Linked DNA regions of Schizosaccharomyces pombe. Changing the gene in region 1 together with any one later gene gives a genetic interaction. Each region holds a gene or a part of one and is shown in the gene's direction. Other genes may lie near its edges.

Region 1 (6,185 bases):
TTAAGTGCCTGGCAGCTAAAATGCAGTCTTCATTGATACGATCGACACGCGGAGAATTTTTTGCATTTTTCATTTTATGTAGTAAAACAGGTCGAGACATGATGATAATAGCTTGGTCATATGTCATGTGTAAATGCACATTTGCACGAAAAAGTGGGTCTTCAGCATCAAGATTTTCCAAAATCTGAAATGGTGGTAAAGAACGCTTCCATTCTTCAAGATCGGCGCGAAGGGATTCAATTATGTTTATTGGATTCTTTTTATAATTGACAGTTCCATAAAGTTGTTCCATAGTTTTTCCCATTATTTTCGCAATTTTAGACATAGATATGATATTATGAACGTTGGAAGCAGAACCTTCTATTTCCAATTCAGGCACTACTGTTGGTAATGCCGCATCACATTCGCTGTCCGCAATAGAAAGTGGACGTCCTGTAGCAATACTGATTAAGCGATCCATGGTATAAACCGACCACCATAGGCGATTACGAAGTTCTTTGGTCTTGGGATCAATATTTGGATTTTCACAGCTACGATGCAACCCGTTTGCGACAGCAGCAGATAAAGAAAGTCCGAAGTAAGTATAGGAACTCTTTTGGGAAAGTGTAGACTGAAGATACAACCCCATAAGTATGGAAGCCTGAACCAAGCTTGGTTTGCATTGCTGAATTACTTGTGGTAACAAAAGCCTAGCAGTATCAAAAAACTGTTTTCCTGGGTTGTCAAAAGGATTGCTAGCAGAACGAATTTCCATGTGAGCAAACATACTACCAAGTGCAAAGATCATCATTAGCAAGCAAAGAAAGCCAGGGTCAACGGATGGATTTTGGAAGCTCATGATAAGGTTTAAACGATAACGAAGTAATGTTTCATGGAAAAAGAAAAAATTTGCTTGAACATGGCCATAGAAAGATTTGATAAGAAAATCTGAAACTTCAGGAGGAGGGAGAAGACTCAGCGCTTTTTGAACAGCATTTACATCATGTTCATTCGGAGGATAACTGTGATGGGTATGGGAATACGCGCTCAGCTCGGAAAAAGAAGGATCGACAAGTAGTTCACTTTGAACAGAGTCAACGAATGCTTCACCAGCAGAAGCTCCTATATAACGGGATTCGCCGTTAGAGTCAACTTTTATTTTTCCAATTAATTTCATGATTTCGTCAACGCTTTGATCGCTAGCATCAGCATTGATTCCATTGTTCGTATCCTCTGCTACGACCGTTGGATCTTGCTGAATTTGTGAACAAACAAGTGCACCTTGTGTAAGGGTATCCACGTCACGTTGACTATTGGTGCTTTCACTATTGAGGGAAAAGACATCTGAAGATAATAGTGATTTTTGGTTGCTTATACGATTGCAAACTTCAATCAATGAAGGTGTAGTATAAGTCGAAACTTTGGTGGAACAAAGACGTTCAACAATATATTCTAAACACTTGTATCTTTTTGAAAGATCAATAAAGTAGTCCTTAGAATAATCCATTTCTTTTTCATCCTTTACTGGATATGTGCATTCCAAATTATTGGAAGCACAAGCTTTGCATGGGTTTGCCCCGTCGCAACGAACTTTCCGGGCTTTGCAGTTAAAGCAGGCTAGAACCACCCTTCTTCGTCTCTCCATAGGAACACGACGTCTCCTATTATGCTGCTCCTGCTTCATGGCTTCGAACAGAACCGCCGTATTTTCAGGTGAAAATTCATGGCTCATTTTCCCCGTTTATGTTAGTAAAATACCAAGTTCATACCAATTTCCATAAATTTAAAATTCTTTTTCTATATTACAGAATTTCAATTCTGAAAAGAGAAAATGCTTAACTATGGCAATGACTTGGCAGAACTTGATTAGTAAATGCCTAAAAGAAAAAATTGTAGTACCCCAGCTCCTATGTTCTACTGGAGGGCGTAATTTAGTGTAGTGGTACGAACCTTTTTTATCAACGAAATCTAATATATACACATATTATTAGTATATGAGACCTTGTTTATACATAACTTTAAGAAAAAATCTAACCGATTTTAAATTTTTGAAAAATAAATACTGCTTGTATTGTACTTTGAAAATGGGAACTTCCGTCAATTTCTTTTCGTTGACGAGCTTATACGTTTATTGAAGCATGGCATGCAATCGATTTTTGTTAATAATTTTCCATTTTAGTATTTCTTCAATAAAATGAGTATTGTGTACATAGTAAACTAATTGCACACATATCGGTCGACACGCTATTTCATAAACGGAATGTAGTACGAAAATAATAGCTATTTTGATTAAAACCCTCTTGAGTTTCAATACAAATGTAAATGTTGCGTTATATGAACCCAAAGTTTAAAGTTCAAAGTCAAAGGCAGTAATGAATCATAGATTCAAATGAACTTGAGCTTACTCTTGCATTCCTGTTGACCTACCTAGTCAAATTTCCCATTATGTATAAAGGTTACGAATTTGTTACCTTCTAATCTGCTTAACCTTAAGACTAAAATAATTTATTCCTTATAAGAAACAACATTTAATGAAATGATTGCAAAGTAAAACACGTAGGATTTCCTTTGTCGTTCTACCAACACCTCCAAACCTTACAACGTATCGTTGTTTCTCATGTAAAGGGAAATTTTCCTATATCCTTTTTATGCTGTTATCAATTTAATATAAACTGTATCGCTGTTATTCTAGTAGGTCGCACTGTGCTGGATTTAACCTTCATTGAAATAAATGCTGTCTAGTCAACGTATGCGACTTCCAGCCTAGCTAACTGTGTCTAATACTTTTTAGATCGTCTAGTGACTCAACCTGCTATTCGTGCGTACGAAGCATTTTCTGCTCCAGGTTTCGGCTTTAATTCAAAATTATTGGATGATGCGTTTGGAGGAAGTGGTCTTAAAAGAGGGTATATTTCTGAAGTATGTGGAGCACCTGGGATGGGAAAAACAAGTTTGGCTTTACAGATTACTGCAAACGCTCTTCTTTCCGGTTCTCGTGTGATTTGGGTCGAAACTTGTCAACCAATTCCCATGGAGAGACTTCGTCAACTATTAGACAATCACGTCCCTTCTTCCCAAGATGAAGAGGAAAAATGCGATACTGATGAGTTATTAAATCTTCTCGATGTTGTATATGCACCCAATTTAGTGAATATTCTAGCTTTTTTACGAAATTTCGATCAAGAAAAACATCTTAAAGAAATTGGATTATTAATTATTGACAACCTATCAATGCCTATTCAACTTGCATATCCAACCAGTCCAGAAGATTATGCTTATCTACGTCTTCGTCGTAATACCAGCAAAAAAAGCTCCCTTTCAGATTCATCTCAAAAAGAAAACACTTTGACGTTAAACAAAGAAAATGAGTTCTCGAGTAAAGACGACTCGAATTTTGCATTTCATAACTCCTCTACCAAAACAACAATAAACCGCAGAAAAAAGGCAATCGGTACAATCAGTTCTTTGTTAAGCAAAATTACATCCTCTTGTTATGTGGCTATCTTTGTTACCACCCAGATGACTTCAAAAGTTGTTAGTGGGATAGGTGCTAAGTTGATACCGCTTCTCAGCACTAATTGGTTAGATAATCTATCTTATCGGCTCATTCTTTACAGTAGGCATTCAACTGAAGAATCAAAAGATGGACAGAGTCGTCCCTCTCATCAGCTTCTGCGCTATGCATTCATGGCAAAGCAGCCACCAGCTCATTCTGCAGAATCAGAGTTGGCTTTTCAGTTAACATCTACTGGTATTCAGGATTATCAAAGTATTCCTACCAATAGCTCACAACGACGTAAGAGATCCATTTTGGAATGTGAGTCCTAGGTAAAAATGGTGGCTTCAGTTACGAATTTTTTAGCATAGTGATGGTTGTTTTGCCCATATCTATTAATTTATTATACCTATTCATTACGTTGCATAAACAACTATGAATACTTGTCGAGTGTTGGTCAAAAGTTTCTCAATGATTTATTTGTGATCTCATATCTTTTCATAATGTATCATAAGCTATTTTGTTCGTTCATTTTTATGAAATTGCTAATTGTCATAGAGGAGGGAAATGATTAAGATATCTATATGTTTGCTGATTGACAAGTCCTTATTAATTTTCAATTGTTTAGGTGTCGCATTCAGTGTACGGACAATAATGACATTATGCTTTCGACATATAAATTCCATGTTGACATAGTGACGTCTCAAGCCTAGCTCAAATCTTTAAAACATGGGTTCAAGTCGCTAAAAATCTACCTGAACTTTACAGCTCTTTTGTTACTTTCGAAAGTGTAGTCTAATAAGTCCATTTTGAGCCTGACCTTATTTATACTTCGCTTTGTCTAGTGTGAGTTGGCGGATTAAGTATGTTTTAATGAACATTGTTTCAACCTACCTCTAATTAACATACTAACCTTTTTATTAGTATTTCCTTTCTCTTTTTATATATACATATTTTCAAAGTCTTAAATCGTTTATCAAGTAATTAGCAAGATGATGGGCACTCAACCATCTTACTCTATTCATACGCTTCGCGCGCCTCCTAAAGCGAAACAGAATCAAATTCCTCCCTCTACTACCCGTCGTGCAGTAAATGTTAATAAACTCGGCAGACAATTCCGTTATCCATCTGTGGGTATGTTTACTCCCGAAATGGCTAAACGCCTTGCAGCTCTCGTTAAGATGGAAAAGGATTTACTTCGATCTTATGAAAACGTTGCCATGGAGCGCAAAGAATGTGCCAATCAACTTTCGTATTGGGGTGAAGATTGCGATGATGATATTAGCGATATCAGTGATAAGCTTGGTGTACTTTTATATGAAATTGGCGAACTTGAGGAGCATATGGTAGACAGATACGATCAATATCGTGTTAGTCTGAAGACCATCCGTGATATTGAGGCTAGCGTTCAACCCACCCGTGTTAAGAAAGAAAAGCTACTTAACTCCATTTATGATGTTAGAAGCCGTGATCCTGAGTCCCCAAAGCTTATTACTATGGAACAGGAACTAGTTCGTGAGGAAGCTGCGTGTTTGGTTGCAGAAGCGCAGTTAACTAACATTACCCGCGAAAACTTTAAACGTGCTTTTACTCTTCATATTGGTACATTACTTGAGCATTCTGAAAAGGTTGCTATTCTTTGCGGGTATGCCAAGAAGATCCTCGATCTCCTGGACGATACTCCCATTGTTCCCGGTGAGCCTCGCCCTATTTACGATGGTTACAACATAACCCGTGACTATATTGTTGAGGCTGAACGTGAGTTGGCTAATTGGCAAAATCCTTTCCAAACTCCTGAACCCCTTACCGACATTGATGGTTTGCCTTCTCAAAGTCATTATCAAACACAATTTCAAGCTAGTGTCGTTCCTCGCACAGATGTAATCAATGAACCTCCACGCCGTTACTCTCATGCGAATGGTGTAACTACTTCCGGCACTACACACTCTTACACCTCTACAGGTAGTAAAAGATATTCTCAAATGGGTACAGAAGATTATCAACCTAGTTTTCAACCAAACATTCTTCAAAGCACCCAAGTTGTTGATAACTTTGAAATTGGCGAGGAGGATGATGAAGAAGTAGGATCTCAAGGCGTTGCTGAAACGTCTATGCCTAGCACTAGTGCACAACCTATTGCTGCTTAAGCAAGTCTTGGTGTGTATTCACGCGATTTCTGGTGATCCTTACGCATTCATCAATTGACGTGAATTTTTTGTCATGTCAATTCACATAATTTGCTAGCACGTGTTAAGCACTTGCTATTGCTACATATGCATGCTTATCGAACTAATACTCACGTTACTCTCATTACCATTGTTTTTGTGTCTATGTCGTTTAACCATATTTATTTTCCACCGAGTTTTATGTTTCGCAGATGTTGGTTTCTTAATTATCTTGTTTTTATTTAGTGTTTTTTTTTAATTCCTGCGGTCAAAATTAGGCTTAACAAGGTTGTTGGTTAAAGCAATTAATTAACAATGGAGATTATTTGTGTTGAAAAAGGATTTTATTAAATGTATGATTTTATAATTTTTACTTCTCAATCCGATTTAATAAAATATTTATGTAAAAATTGGCAGTTCGGTTGTATTAGTAAAAAGCAATACAACATAGATAGCAAATTCAACTGGGTCAGATCTTTAGTATATATTATTTAACAACGGTAAAAATATCAATAAAGCTTAATTAAAGCAAAACATATGCTTCC
Region 2 (10,284 bases), on another chromosome or scaffold:
ATTGCCAGTCGACACCTTTAAAACATCTTTCGTTGAGTGTTGTAGTTTTTGGACTGTAAAGGAAGACCCTTTGCGGTGATTTAATGTTTTCAAACATTTGCTAAAGGGCTGTTAAAATGTTTACGATATTCAAATGTTTATTTAAAAGAAAGTTTTCTTATTTGTTCATCTATGGGGTTGGCTCCTCATTCGTATAATACGCTGAAAGCACATTAAAGTCTCTGGATATCAGCAGTTTCATATGATTAATTTTCAAAGATCCGGTTTATGATAATCATGAAAGCAACAGAATTCTTTGTTTGTTATGGGAATGTATTTGTTGATGATTACTTTTTTTTCCCTAGTCAAATAGTTCAATAACGGTTGATATACCAATTATTAGACCAACAGACGAAGCTGAAATTCAACAATGGTTAACTCATTCCATTTCGGACCGTATAAACTCCTTTATTAGCTACTAAATTAATTTTTAATTTTGGTCAGTCAATGTGAATAGGATATTTCTTTTTAACTCATTAAGCACACAATGATTTCTTGGTTGTTTACTGAATAGTGCAAAATAAAGTCGTACCTAAAAATATGTTAGAGTTTGCTAATTGATATAAAATGTAAGCTACGCAGTTTGGTATCTGATTTAAGGATACGTAGAGCTGCGGTGAGTTTTCCTTGTGGTCTATTATATTACAATACACAGGTTGTATAAGTAGCAACTGAGTATAGGTATTGTATTAACTGGATTATAATGTTACCTATCACTAATATAGCTCATAACTGAACCTCGTTCCTCAGTTCAGTTGTAACTCTATTTATAATATTTCTAAATAGTTGTTATCAACGGGTATCTATGTATATAGACGAATAGTTACCCGTGATTATCAATAAACGGATCTTAGCTAGTATTCCAACATATGACATATAGTGATACGCAACGTAGTGTATCATAGCGTAGTGTAGTATTGCTGACATAAAATTAATAATAGTATTTTCGTTGCACGTTATAAAAGGAGCAGTGACAAAATGGGTATGTAAGAGGAAATCGCATTTTAGAGATGGGTTTTGAAAGATTTTTTTTTTCTGATACTAGTTGAGAAGCTAAAAGAAACAGTTAGTTCTTTTTTAGAGGTCTATTGATCGCCGCTCTACATTGAATTGTTGATAAAAGAGGTTTTCTTAATAGCTCTTACGTTTGTCGCAATCCCAGCAATTGGTATATTTTTGAGTATATCTTACCTCCATTTAATAAGATGAGCAATAATTATACTTCCTTAAGCAGCTCTTTAGATGAAGAAATGGGATTGAAGGCAGGACATGAAATTGACTTGGAAGGAAGCCCACCTTCAGAGCACAATTCGGAGGAGAAAAGCACATTGCCTTCAAATTCAGGTACGTTATGTTGTTAATATGAAAGAAAACATTATAGTAAAAACTGTATCTTGATGTTATTTAAAAATAACATGTTTGTGATTATTTGGTTACATTCGACTTACTCAAATTTTCGATTCTAAGCGCGGTGAGCTTTTTTTTTCTTTCAAATATAATATAAATTCCTGTTAATGTTTGAAGTTTCAGCATTTACTAATGCATTCAGATATTCTGACGTCCGCTAATCCTGTGTCTCAAGCTTCAGAAACTCCAGATCACAGCATCGAAAGTAATACAGGATCTACGCAATCGCCCACAAGCCATAGTCTACTTCTGAAGTTCTCTTTTTGTATTGTTTATTATTCTTATTTTGCAATTGTTGTGCTTGGTTGCGTGCTTCCTTTTGAGCACACACACACTTTCCTTATAGCTTTTTTGGTTATATTCGGTATAATCTCTGTGATATTGTTTAGCGGCTCAATTTGTAAGCAAATTGTGAGGATGTTATCAGTTCATTCACTAACTCTTCAGACTACTATGAAACTTGGACCAAGACTGTGAAGCACTTTTTGAAAAAAGTGATAAGCCCTTTCAAGAAGGAATACATTGTGTGTGCATTTTTAAAAACTTTTGTTTTCTATGGGCTTTTGAAAACGATTGAACATTTTTTAGTTCTTCTTTCTGGTGATAAATGGGGATGGAAATGCTCAACATTATCTAGCATTCTCACTCCTGTATCATGCATCTCTTTTTGCTTAAATGAATCAGGTTCGTTATTGTAATAATTTAGTTATATTAATAATACAGTACAACTCAGATCATGCAGCACTCATTTGTTCATAAATACCGTGGCATGGATTAAATGTATGTTCTATAAATAATGAGATATTTCTTGCAAAGAATTTTCTATTAACGATATTAAGCTCTTGGTGGCGGAAAAAATGCGTTTGAAAATAACTACAATCAATTGAATGAAACAAGTCCCGAAGACCTAGTTTAGTTTCATTATTGCTTGGTACTGTCAATAGTCGCGAAGCGCTTTTCTCAAAATCTCTTTTCACGAAATATTCAACGCAATGGAGTAACTTTGCAATCATAATGCTTTAATTTGGAAGTTTAAGTATGGTCGATCATTTGCCAACTTTTTGTACTGTATATTTTTATCTCGTTCTTTTGTTATCATTTAATTTGTTGACCAGTGTGTTACTTAAAAGCATTCTACAATGCTACTTGACATGTTTATATGGGATTTTGCATATCCATTATTGCAAGAATGCGTTGATGATGGTTACTATTCATGTCAACCCACGTTGATAAATTGCGATTCTTAGATTGACTATCAAATCAACTAGTGGAATTAGGAAACCTACTGCTCAGTCTGGTTGTATTCATAATTTCGTTTATATTTCTTTCATGATTATTTCTCAAAATTTAAACTCTTTTTTAATGAAACCAAATTCGTCAATGTCTACTTCTTTGTTAATTTGTTTTAGACCAATCTATGTTATTGTTTACTAAATAGCGAGCGACAAAAAAGCTCCTAGGTAATGTTATCTGATGCTAAGATAGTTAAGCTAAACCAGCATAATAGTAAAATACTCAATTGAAGTATAGCCCACTAATTGAACTGATGAATGTAGGCTCAACTGTGTTCTACTAAGTTTAGTATATGTTTATTTAAATTTTTTTCTCAGTTTGATCATTTCAGTTGATGAATATGAATTCTAGTTGGATAACCTCATTAATGGGAATTATATAATAATCAGTGATAGACAATTTTGCGTAATATAGAGATATAACGATATAAAAGTTTACAATGTTTTTACGCACTCATTACAGTTTTTACATTCGTTATACAATTGTTAAAATATAAACATAGAGATCACAATTTTAAGCACCGTAGTTTCAAGTAATTTGCTATCTTGGTTAAAAAATGCGCAACTGCACATTAGCGAATTCTATCTGTTTCTACGTCTGAATCCGCCTTTAATTGTGGCTTATGCCTCCACATGCTAAAACGCACTATTTGGCAATACGTGAAAGACAAATACTTCATTCTTAGTCATCTCATAAAAACTAACTCCTCGGAACCGAGGAGGGTAAACAAGCGCCGAGTGTGCATTTATATTGATTAGACAGGGATTTTTAGTTGTACTTTTCAAATCACTATACTCTTTTGCTTTTTCTTGAATTTTGTTTAGTCGCAGAAGACTGCGCTTGCTTATTAGAGTATTTAGCATTAAGAGGTATTAACTTAACTTCAATTCCCTATCAGGACGTGGAAGAAACGTTTTTACGCCTTTTGACAATTGTCAAAATTTGGGAAAACCCTACTGTGTTAATTGTATTGTAATTTGGTAAGTGTTGTGTGTGTGGATGGATTGAACAAGGAACGATGATGCGAATTGGCAAAATGGTAACATGGCAATATTATTATTGTCTCAGCTCTAATAGTCTGTCTTTACAAGTTGGATGAGAAGGAGAACGATTGAGATGCTGCTTGGCTTTTATGATTATAATGATTATTGTGATAGTTCATGGATGGGTAGGAATATTTTTTTCTTTGTTATTTTTAAGACACATATGCATCTGCAAGCATTCGAGTGAAATAATTTGTTGGCTGATTTTATCCTCACAAGGTTCAACGCTAAATTTTGTTGTACTGGATGCTATAGGCGTTGAAAGTTTCTTGCTTCAATGCTTTTTTTCACTGACCAGATTTTTCCAATTATTAAATAAAAATTTTAACTGGTACAATAATTACGACGATATTCGTTTTATCAATTCCATTCACGTTCTTCTCCCTTTTAGCCTTTTTTATCCATAATTGATGACTTGTTATTTGAACGACTTCTAACCCTTTTCTTAGTGTTACGATTTTAGTTTCCAATTATTTGGTTTAAATTATTTTTTTCATCTTCTACATCTCCGTTTGTTTAAACCTACCTATTTTTCTTAATTTCCATTTTCTACTCTCGATCCTCAAACTGGTTTTCTTAATTTGTTTTAATTTTATAGAATTTGCATAATCATGTCTTTGCATAGTAAAAAATCCACTTCTACGGTTAAGGATAACGAACATTCTTTGGACCTTTCTATCAAAAGCATACCTTCAAATGAAAAAAACTTTTCAACAGAGAAAAGCGAGAATGAGGCTTCTGAAAGCCACGTGGTAGATGTTGTCAAAGATCCTTTTGAACAGTATACTCCTGAAGAACAAGAAATCCTTTACAAACAAATTAATGACACACCTGCCAAACTTTCTGGATACCCTAGAATCCTTTCATACGCCGATAAATGGGATATTATGCTGCAATTGGCAGGCACCATTACTGGTATTGGTGCCGGCCTGGGTATGCCATTGATGTCCCTTGTATCCGGTCAGCTGGCTCAAGCTTTTACCGACCTTGCCTCTGGCAAAGGAGCGTCATCTTTCCAACACACTGTAGATCACTTTTGTCTTTATTTTATTTACATCGCAATTGGTGTCTTTGGCTGTTCATATATTTACACTGTAACCTTTATTATTGCAGGAGAGCGGATTGCCCGTCGTATTCGACAAGATTATTTGCATGCCATTCTTTCCCAAAATATCGGTTATTTCGATCGTCTAGGTGCCGGTGAAATTACCACTCGAATTACTACTGATACAAACTTTATTCAAGATGGTTTAGGTGAGAAGGTCGGATTGGTGTTCTTTGCAATAGCAACCTTTGTATCTGGTTTTGTTATCGCTTTTATTCGTCATTGGAAGTTCACATTGATATTGAGTTCAATGTTTCCAGCCATTTGTGGTGGTATCGGCTTGGGTGTTCCCTTTATTACCAAAAACACCAAAGGTCAAATCGCCGTCGTTGCCGAATCCAGTACATTTGTGGAAGAAGTGTTTTCCAATATCAGAAATGCTTTTGCTTTTGGTACCCAAGATATTCTTGCAAAATTGTACAATAAGTACTTAATAACTGCACAACGCTTCGGTATCAATAAGGCAATTGCAATGGGTTTAATGGTTGGATGGATGTTCTTTGTTGCGTATGGTGTTTACGGTCTTGCATTTTGGGAAGGTGGACGCCTCCTACATGCAGGTGATTTAGATGTTAGCAAATTAATTGGCTGCTTTTTCGCCGTCCTTATTGCTTCCTATAGTTTGGCCAACATTTCTCCTAAGATGCAGTCATTTGTTAGTTGTGCCTCAGCCGCTAAAAAGATTTTCGACACAATTGATCGTGTTAGTCCAATTAATGCTTTTACACCTACTGGTGATGTAGTCAAAGATATTAAAGGGGAGATCGAATTGAAAAATATTCGATTTGTTTATCCTACTCGTCCTGAAGTTTTAGTGCTGGATAACTTTTCTTTGGTATGCCCTTCTGGTAAAATTACTGCTTTAGTAGGTGCCAGTGGTAGCGGCAAATCCACGATCATTGGACTTGTTGAGCGATTTTACGACCCCATTGGTGGGCAGGTTTTCTTAGATGGTAAAGACCTTAGAACGCTGAACGTTGCTTCGCTGAGAAATCAAATATCTTTGGTACAACAAGAACCGGTTCTGTTTGCTACAACTGTGTTTGAAAATATAACTTATGGCCTGCCTGATACAATTAAAGGTACCTTGTCTAAGGAAGAATTGGAAAGAAGAGTTTATGATGCCGCTAAGCTTGCCAACGCTTACGACTTTATTATGACATTACCCGAGCAATTTTCAACTAATGTTGGACAACGCGGTTTCCTTATGTCAGGAGGACAAAAACAAAGAATTGCAATCGCTAGGGCCGTTATTAGTGATCCCAAGATCTTATTGTTGGACGAAGCCACAAGTGCTTTAGACTCTAAGAGTGAAGTGCTTGTTCAGAAAGCTCTAGATAATGCATCGAGATCTCGTACCACTATCGTTATTGCTCATCGTCTTTCTACAATTCGTAACGCTGATAATATTGTCGTAGTGAATGCAGGAAAAATTGTTGAACAGGGCTCCCACAATGAATTGTTAGATCTGAATGGTGCTTATGCTAGACTAGTAGAAGCTCAAAAGCTATCAGGTGGAGAAAAAGACCAGGAAATGGTCGAGGAAGAACTGGAGGATGCTCCGAGGGAAATACCCATAACGTCTTTTGGTGACGATGATGAAGATAATGATATGGCTAGCCTCGAGGCCCCTATGATGTCCCATAATACGGATACTGATACGTTGAATAATAAACTCAACGAGAAAGATAATGTCGTGTTTGAAGACAAAACCCTTCAGCATGTAGCTTCCGAAATTGTTCCAAACCTACCTCCTGCAGATGTCGGTGAACTTAATGAGGAGCCTAAAAAGTCCAAAAAGTCAAAGAAAAACAACCATGAGATTAATTCGTTAACAGCGTTATGGTTCATTCATTCTTTTGTACGGACAATGATAGAGATTATTTGTCTATTAATTGGTATTTTGGCTTCTATGATTTGTGGTGCAGCTTACCCTGTTCAGGCAGCTGTTTTTGCAAGATTTCTCAATATCTTCACTGATCTCTCATCCACAGACTTTTTACACAAAGTAAACGTGTTTGCTGTTTATTGGCTTATTCTAGCTATTGTTCAATTCTTCGCTTATGCAATTTCCAATTTTGCAATGACTTATGCAATGGAAGCAGTTTTGCAAAGAATTCGTTATCATCTATTTCGAACATTGCTTCGTCAAGATGTTGAGTTTTTCGACCGTAGTGAGAACACAGTTGGTGCTATTACTACTTCTTTATCAACGAAAATTCAGTCTTTGGAGGGATTGAGCGGCCCGACTTTAGGAACCTTTTTCCAAATTTTGACCAATATCATTTCAGTTACGATTTTATCTTTGGCTACAGGATGGAAGTTGGGTTTGGTGACCCTTTCGACCTCCCCTGTTATCATTACTGCTGGTTATTACCGTGTACGTGCTCTTGATCAAGTCCAAGAGAAGTTGTCTGCTGCCTACAAAGAGTCAGCTGCGTTCGCATGCGAGTCAACTTCAGCCATTCGTACAGTCGCTAGTCTTAATCGCGAAGAAAACGTTTTTGCTGAGTATTGTGATTCTCTCATCAAACCTGGCCGTGAGTCGGCAATCGCATCATTGAAATCTGGTTTATTCTTTTCTGCTGCTCAAGGTGTTACCTTTTTGATTAACGCATTGACATTTTGGTATGGTTCTACCTTAATGCGCAAGGGCGAATATAACATCGTTCAGTTTTATACTTGTTTTATTGCAATTGTCTTTGGTATACAACAAGCTGGTCAATTCTTTGGTTACTCAGCAGATGTAACAAAAGCAAAGGCTGCTGCCGGTGAAATTAAGTATTTGTCCGAATCAAAACCTAAAATTGATACATGGTCGACGGAAGGAAAGAAAGTTGAATCCCTTCAAAGTGCAGCAATTGAATTCAGGCAAGTTGAATTTAGTTACCCTACCAGAAGGCATATTAAAGTTCTTCGTGGTTTGAACCTCACTGTGAAGCCCGGGCAGTTTGTCGCATTCGTAGGATCTTCTGGCTGTGGTAAATCTACGACCATTGGGCTTATCGAGCGTTTCTACGATTGCGACAATGGAGCTGTATTGGTGGACGGTGTTAATGTTCGTGACTATAACATTAACGACTACCGCAAACAAATTGCCCTTGTCTCTCAAGAGCCAACGTTGTACCAAGGTACTGTTCGTGAGAACATTGTTTTGGGCGCATCTAAAGATGTCTCTGAAGAAGAGATGATTGAAGCTTGCAAGAAGGCCAATATTCATGAGTTTATTCTTGGATTGCCCAACGGTTATAACACACTTTGCGGTCAAAAGGGCTCTTCCTTATCTGGTGGTCAAAAACAGCGTATTGCCATTGCTAGAGCATTAATTAGAAATCCAAAGATTCTCCTTTTAGATGAAGCAACCAGTGCTTTAGACAGTCATAGCGAAAAGGTCGTTCAAGAAGCTTTAAATGCCGCCTCTCAAGGTAGAACCACGGTAGCAATTGCTCATCGTTTGTCTTCTATCCAAGATGCAGACTGTATTTTCGTATTTGATGGTGGTGTTATCGCTGAAGCTGGTACTCATGCCGAGCTTGTTAAACAGCGCGGTCGTTACTATGAACTTGTGGTTGAACAGGGATTGAACAAAGCATAATTTATTTGAAAAGGGTGATACCCGACAAGAGCCCTTTTTTTGTCTTTCTGATCAGTAAAAGGGTTTCCATTGTTTAGATTAACTCCCTCATATATCGTTAAGTTATTTCCGAATTTCCTTTATTTAGGTCATGTATACTATTATGCGATGAAGCATGACCAATGCTATTAAATTACTTAATATTTCCTTATTTTGAAAATGGATGTTTGTCGTTTGTCTTCTAGATATGTCTTCATCCATAGTCAGGTTTGTGTTTTATTCCAAAAACTTGTCAATTTCAAGGATTGAATAACAAGGTTACTTTTTAGGCATTATGGCCTTACTAGCAATGTAAGGAATTTTAATGTCTGTGCTATTTAATGTTGTTTGGTCAACTGATTAATTTAATTTGCTAACGTGCAAATAATTGTCTATTTTATCGTAATCGGTACGATGGCATTTTACTCTTACCATTAACTTTGATTCATAATGAATAATGGATTCGTTTTTTGTTTTTTTATTGACCCTCATAAGTACGGATTTCGTAGTTTTTCAAATTGTAAATAGTAGTAACAAAATAGAAGTTTTTTGACTTGGGAACTTCTTTGTACCTCAATGCTTAAAATATGAGCTTCTAGCCCAAATGTAAAATTAATAGCAAGTTTACTTTGATATGATTGAACCAAATATTACTTACTAACACTACTTTCTTGAATGCGTCTGCCTTTTTCTAACAACAAGCTTTTGGACTAACTGAAATATATTTAATTATTTCTTCAGTATCTCAATTCTAGTTTAAATAACGCTCTGACGGCATATTTCACAAAACAGTTTTAACGGTTACTAGCAATATGTACCATAGTATGTTGAAATTATTCCTTAAATCCTACAAAAACCTTCAAAAGACAGTCACAGTTGTGAAAAAAGAGCAGTCACATTCGCTTTAGTTGCGTGGATGCAACACTCTGTCTTCCACAAAATGCCTTCTCACAAGAGTTTCCGTACCAAGCAAAAGCTTGCCAAGGCTGCGCGTCAAAACCGCCCCATTCCTCAATGGATTCGTCTTCGCACCGGAAACACTGTTCATTATAACATGAAGAGAAGACACTGGAGACGTACCAAGTTGAACATCTAAAATGGTATGTCGACAAAATCAACCGACGCCTTTGCTTGTGGAGTAACTGTTTTCTAACTGAGATAGCGTTCGTGTACATGAAGTTATGGATTGCTTTATGCGTATCCTACGTTTTACGTGTGCAAAAATAGAAAATGGATCCATTCTGTTTGAGCGAAAAATTTCTATATAAACGCAATGTATCTGTTGTCTTCAATAACTATGTAAACAGTTCCATGCAAGTCGTAAGGATTGTCGTGTAATATAGTAGAGTTGAATGATCTGTAAATAAAACGATTTTAAGTGTACTTTAATTTTCTAGTAGTTGGTGGCGGCGCGGCCTGACCTGGTAGGAAAAACTTTTGACTTGTAATTGTCGGGATAGATGAGTTTTTGTTTTTATTTAAAGAGCTTGAAAAATTTATACTCATTTCAATTTCGACAAAGTTTGTAAGTTATTTTATTAAAATACTTTGTAACAAATAAAATGACTGCAGGATGATTTGTCCTCCTGCATTGTTTTACGCTACAGGGTTTTTTTAGTACATAGGGTATCAAGAAGCTTTCAACACATCTTAAGTCTACTTGTGTAAGGAAAATATTTACAAATTTAAAACTTGACCAGAAGTAAAAAAAATAAAACAAAAATTTAATGGTAGTCATGCAGAACTTCAATTGAGTATAGATTAGTCAAAAACGAGCTAGCTGT
Region 3 (6,066 bases), 890 kb from region 1:
CTAATGCCACCCTTTTCATTGACACTCAAACCAAGAGCGACTGCTACAAGTTGGCTAGCACCATCGAGAGCTGGAAGTATGCTCCCCTTTCCGCTTTCCCCAACTATGGTCCCTTCTATATTTATGGACAATGTGTCGCTACTTTCACTTCTGGTTACAGCCCTCTCGTTGAGCCTGCCTTCACCTTTGCAAGTGCTTTGAACACTACCTTGAACTCTTTCCCCAACGGTACTTTGCCCACTCAGACCCAAGTTGTTGGAGACATCGGTGTCAAGTTCCTTCAATACTTTGCTTAAATTCTCTCGTTTTTTGATCCCTATTAATTGACGAAAAAGACGGGTCTTTACGTATGAAACTCTCCTGTTAATGCGATTTGCTGCGAAAAGCTAATCCCTTTAGATAAGTTATCTCAAACACGGTCTTGAAACTCCTGGTTAATTGTAGTCGTTTATCGTCTTACATAATTTATTCTATGTGAAAATAAAAATCACTTTTGTTTAGTTATGTGGTCACTGTTGTGAAAAGGTTTATTGTAATGTATTCTCTCAGTAGTAGTAATTGTAGTGAGTAGATAAACGTTTACTGTATTTTCGTCTAATTGCAATTTTATGATGTTCAGTACAAGATATAACTTACTCAATCTTTTTCGATTGGATACATCATACAAATCAAAATTGACACCACTCAAATCGTTAATTGCCATTGTATGCATCTTTAAACTTGTATTATCGCACATATCCACTTTTCTGCTAGTAATAATGTTATCCAACTTTCATTTAGAGCGATATATCTCTTTCTCATTAATCATTTTACCAAGCTGGGTTTGTGAATTCGTTCCAACTGCGACCATCATTATTTGAAATCCATAGTGGTTTATGGAAAGCTACATAAAGCAAAAGCAAAAGAAGGAATTGCAAAATTCGTACTTTATAGTAGCTGAATGATCTATAAACAATAATTTTTGGAAAATACTAAGCAAATAGTTTCGAACGCCTTAAACTCTTGAATTGATTAACTTTTGTACAATCAACTCCAAGCTTCAATACCTAAATTTACTAATTCAATCCTTCTATATGAGATTTCTATAATCATATCTTAAACTTGATTGTAAACCGGATTGTAATTATATTATAAAGCACGCGATCAAAATAGTGAGCTTAGTTGTTGTTTTGCTGATAATGGATAAGATATAATCCTTGCTCATATCTCGTATTTGAGCATCGTATGAATATCTACTTTGTAAGGTTAGGCGAAAATTATTCAACTTTCAACATCTAAAAATTTGATTCTTTTATTTATTGCACGATGTCAGCCTCGCATCCTGGTATTCTCCATGAGTACACAGAAAGGCTTGTTGCTTTCGAGCTAGTTGGAAAAAGTAACGTTACACTTACATCCAACGTAACTCGATCATTATTGTTATTTGTCGGGGGACTTGGCGATGGTCTTTTGACAGTACCATATGTTCAAGAACTGGTCAATCCATTAGATGAAATTGGTTGGAGTATTGTACAGGTTCAAACTCAGTCCTCGTATATAGGATGGGGAACGGGAAGTTTGAAACGAGATGACGAGGATTTACACAAGGCAGTGGACTATTTTTTGCACATTGGAGGCGCGGACTTTTCTACTCGCAAAATCGTTTTGATGGGACATTCCACGGGATCGCAGAATGTACTATACTATCTTACACAGTCCATTCTTCCAAACTACTTAATCGCCGGAATAGCACAAGCTCCAGTATCGGATAGAGAAGCCGCGTATCAATTTAACGGGAAAGAAAAAACAAAGGAATTGGTTGACTGGGTTAAAGCAGAATATCTTGACAAAGGACTAGGAAATGATGTTTTACCTAGAAGCAAGGTAGAGAATTTTTTTGGTGAAGTTCCGACATCTGCAAATCGATGCATTGACTTGACAGATGTCCGCGGAAATGATGACTTTTTCTCCTCTGACCTGAGCGCCGATGATTTCGCTAAAACTTTTGGTAATCTCAAAGAAATCTCCGGCTCCACAGCACATAGTCAGTTGATACTGCTTATGTCGGAAAGGGACGAGTTCGTCTCGCCATCAACTGATAAAGCACAATTACTGAACCGATTTCGCGAATCAATTCGTCCTACAACTTCTAATAGTTCCTTAAGCGGCATCATACCGGGAGCTACACATAATGTCGGGCCAAAATCTTCACCAGAAGCTTTGAAATGGTTGATAAATCAACTTATAACGGCTTTAAGAAGCTTCATTGATCAATAAAGATTCGTAATACATAGAATATGACTTTAGCGCTAAAAGTCACGTAGAACAGTTTAGATAATTGTGATCCGGATGAAATATTCGACAAAATCTCGCAATGGAGATTTAACAAAAGTAATGTTTTAAATTCAAAAGCATACCCTTAAGCTATCAAAAGCTTCCTCAAAGTTGGAGTTTGATAACTTTTGTGATATTTTTTATCTTTGAAGTTACTTTTGAAATGCTATAAAAGGTATATTGAGAACAATTCCAGTTACTAATCTACTGTTTTACAAATTAAGACTTAATGTTTATCCCATTCCCTTCATAGCGCATTTATCCATTTTATACGTGTTAAGATTATATAACAATATTCATCTCCATACTTCTGTCATTGTAAATTAAGGCGTATAGTTACTTCAATTGTATTATGAAGACAACTGCAAAGCTTCTTTATGTTCAACGTCAATGCTAATTAGAGAAAGTAAGCTTAGTAAGGTGGATGAATAATTCTTAAAACACTATGCTTTCTTTATAGCTATTCCATCGTTTTATCCATTTTATGCCTTATTGAACGCCCAATATTTCTTTAATCTGTCATATACTCTAAGGTCGAAGAGTTGTTACTTGTTTAACGGAAGTGGTTAGTTTCCTCTGACTCTCCTTTACAACATTTTACATCTATAAAAGATCTTTGATACTAACTAATGGAAAAAGATATTATATAAATTGATCGTTTCCACCATATTGTTTTCACTGTCCAAGACGTAGAAGCCACCTGTGAGTTCTATGAGCGCACATTAGGAATGTCGGTTATCGCATTTGGAAACAATCGCAAGGCACTCGGTTTCGGTCATAAAAAATCAACTTGCATCAAAAGGGTAATGAGATTGACCCAAAATCACACATACTGACTCCTGGGTCAAATGATATTTGCCTAATAGCTAAAACACCCTTAGAGCAAGTCATTGCTCACTTAAAAAAGCAAAATGTTCTCATAGAAGAAGGTCCTATTACAAGGGCTGGAGCTGAAGGAGTTATCCTCTCTATTTATTTTCGCGATCCAGATGAAAATTTAATTGAAGTTTCAAATTACATCTAAGAATGTTGAATTTGCTTCAAGATTCCTTTTTTTTAGCTTAGGACTTGCTTACATAAATAACGAATTGCAGTGCAATTCCTAAGGAATGAAAACCCTTACCGTTTAGTCAAAAGCACATAATGAGTGATAAATTTTTGATCAATTGAATCTTTGCTATTATGACTTTGGACATTGAAGAGAAAGAAGAGATAGTCACTTCACTCACAAAAGCAGAAATCCATCTTTCTGGATTGGATGAGAATTGGAAACGGCTCGTGAAGCTCGTTGGTAATTATCGACCCAATCGAAGTATGGAGAAAAAAGAGCCTTATGAAGAATTAATTCGTGCGGTAGCATCTCAACAATTGCATAGTAAAGCTGCTAACGCAATTTTCAATCGCTTTAAAAGTATTTCTAACAATGGCCAATTTCCAACACCAGAGGAAATTCGTGATATGGATTTTGAAATAATGCGTGCCTGTGGATTTTCAGCTCGTAAAATTGATTCATTAAAAAGCATTGCTGAGGCAACAATCAGCGGTTTGATTCCTACTAAAGAAGAAGCTGAAAGGCTCTCAAATGAAGAATTGATAGAACGACTTACTCAGATTAAAGGAATCGGAAGATGGACAGTAGAAATGTTACTCATCTTTTCGTTGAATCGTGATGATGTTATGCCAGCTGACGATTTGAGTATTCGTAATGGATACCGATATCTACACCGATTACCAAAAATTCCAACCAAGATGTATGTTCTTAAGCATAGTGAAATATGTGCACCTTTTCGTACTGCAGCAGCATGGTATCTCTGGAAAACGTCAAAACTTGCCGATTATACAAAGCCTGTTAGGCCGAAGAAACACTGAAGGACAGATGTATTATATATTTAAAAGTAAAAAGTTGAATTCGATAAGTTTATTCCTGGTTGGTCTTTTACATTTTATGTACGCTTCTTTTTATTTTTGGTTTACCAATTTATAGTATCTTTTCAATCATTTCTGAATAGAATGTCTACGTCCACTCAGACGAAGCATTTTCGTCACATTACGCTTATATAAAAGAAGTGATTTTTTGGTGAATGATGGCAAAAATAACAAAAGGGAGATGAGATGTTTTAATGGGTTCATTTGCAAATATTTACAAAACACTCTTGGGTGGTTAAGAAAACCCGTTTCTGCTACATTTGTCTTTTACTTTATGTGATACAAGATAGATGACGCTCAGCTGTCTCTAACGATATACTTGCGTATGATATGTTAATAATATAATGAATAATGATTTTTTTTGAACATGCTCATTTCTGTATCTGTATCTATGATGTCGATATAAATATTGAATATTAAATAAACCAGTTATTTCAATTATTTATGTATTGGCATGTAACGAGATAAATCAGCCTCTTTTACCAAAGGATATTTCACCATCATAGATACAATGTCAAATAACAATTGCGCACCAGCCAAGGATGTTATTTCTGCAACATCGTAAGCGGGAGCTACTTCGACAAGGTCAGCGCCTACGAATTTCAGACCTTGCAAACCACGTAAAATTGCTCTCATTTCTCTAGATGACCAACCGCCAGTTTCAGGAGTACCCGTAGCGGGTGCAAATGCAGGATCAAGCACATCAATATCAATGGATAAATATACCAAATTATCACCAACTCTGTCACGAATCTTTTTGACGATACCATCAATCCCCAAATCATCAATTTCACGAGCCTCAATGATTTTGAAACCACAATCAACATCATCATCGTAGTCAGAGAAACTAGAGATAGGAGTACGAATGCCAGCATGAATGTTGGCATCTTTGCTCATAATACCTTCTTGACTAGCAAAGTAGAAATAAGAACCATGGTTTATTCCATCTGCTTCATCGCCATCGCCAATCAATCCAGGAGCCCACGTGTCTAAGTGGCTATCGAAATGAATAACTGAAATAGGTTGTCCGTAAACACGATGCAAAGCTCGTAAGATGGGAAGGACAATGGTATGGTCACCACCGAGTGAAAGGACTCGAGGAAGCACAGTATCATTTTTTGCAAATCCATCATGGTCAGTAAAACTGGAGGGCTTTCGAGCTATTAGCTGGAAATATGCACTTTCTAACTGATCCATAGCTTTAAGAATATCATACGTGGTGACTGGAATATCTCCACAATCCACAAGCTTTGCCCATGATTTGAAAGGATTGATTTCAAGAGGTACATTCACTGCACCGTATTTAGTATTTATGCGTCGAGATCCTTCACGCAAACTGCTTGGACCAAATCGAGCACCAGGGCGGTAAGAAGTGCCTGTATCGAAAGGCATTCCTATAAAGGCAATATCAAAGTCCTCTGACCTTTTACTCAAACATTCAACATTCTCCAAACGACCAAACGTCGCAATCCCTGAATACATAGGTTCGACTATACTTGAGAATTCTACTTCCTCATAGTTACTAGGTACAGCATAGAATGGTGATTGTTTTTCCTTTACGAAAACTGGATTCTTCTCCTGAAAGCCCAAGCCCATCCTCCCAGCTTCTCCAAAGCCAGAAAGTAGCAGAAAAACTCCCCATGTAAACCATTCAACACTTTTCATAATTTCTTGTAGCTACGGTTCTAAGACAGTGAAACTGGCCTTTATATACTTTCAAATTTAGGGCTAATACAAGCCCATCATATCAAAAATCTACTAATCGTATAACTCATTTTATGGCGAATATCGGCGCCTGTATTGCAGAAGTACTGTATAACGGAGTCC

Evidence for each region.
Region 2: of rad55 (region 1) and pmd1, changing one enhances a phenotype caused by changing the other (phenotypic enhancement), as found in Schizosaccharomyces pombe (one study listed by BioGRID).
Region 3: of rad55 (region 1) and mag1, a mutation in one rescues a mutant of the other (synthetic rescue), as found in Schizosaccharomyces pombe (one study listed by BioGRID).

The regions. Positions count from the first base shown.
Region 1 is NC_003424.3:2,064,290-2,070,474, reverse strand, and holds rad55 (DNA recombination mediator, RecA family ATPase Rad55/Rhp55), read left to right. Parts: upstream 1-2,560; 5' UTR 2,561-2,710; coding exon 2,711-2,726; intron 2,727-2,770; coding exon 2,771-3,807; 3' UTR 3,808-4,033; downstream 4,034-6,185. Other genes in the region: SPOM_SPAC3C7.04 (transcription factor), read right to left, coding at 1-1,711; eisosome BAR domain-containing protein Pil2, read left to right, coding at 4,471-5,622. UniProt on the Schizosaccharomyces pombe protein: Required for radiation resistance and meiotic viability and acts in recombination and recombinational DNA repair pathways.
Region 2 is NC_003421.2:1,631,581-1,641,864, forward strand, and holds pmd1 (leptomycin transmembrane transporter Pmd1), read left to right. Parts: upstream 1-3,512; 5' UTR 3,513-3,719; exon of another isoform or gene 3,720-3,946; intron 3,947-4,131; exon of another isoform or gene 4,132-4,231; 5' UTR 4,232-4,393; coding exon 4,394-8,482; 3' UTR 8,483-8,991; downstream 8,992-10,284. Other genes in the region: wtf element Wtf15, read left to right, coding at 1,245-1,383, 1,589-1,846, 1,894-2,130, 2,170-2,226, 2,286-2,362; rpl39 (60S ribosomal protein L39), read left to right, coding at 9,441-9,596.
Region 3 is NC_003424.3:2,952,254-2,958,319, reverse strand, and holds mag1 (DNA-3-methyladenine glycosylase Mag1), read left to right. Parts: upstream 1-3,455; 5' UTR 3,456-3,495; coding exon 3,496-4,182; 3' UTR 4,183-4,592; downstream 4,593-6,066. Other genes in the region: SPOM_SPAPB24D3.07C (uncharacterized protein), read left to right, coding at 1-296; SPOM_SPAPB24D3.06C (uncharacterized protein), read left to right, coding at 1,306-2,256; SPOM_SPAPB24D3.03 (agmatinase), read right to left, coding at 4,678-5,904. UniProt on the Schizosaccharomyces pombe protein: Hydrolysis of the deoxyribose N-glycosidic bond to excise 3-methyladenine or 7-methyladenine from the damaged DNA polymer formed by alkylation lesions. Can release ethylated and propylated bases from DNA in addition to 3-methyladenine.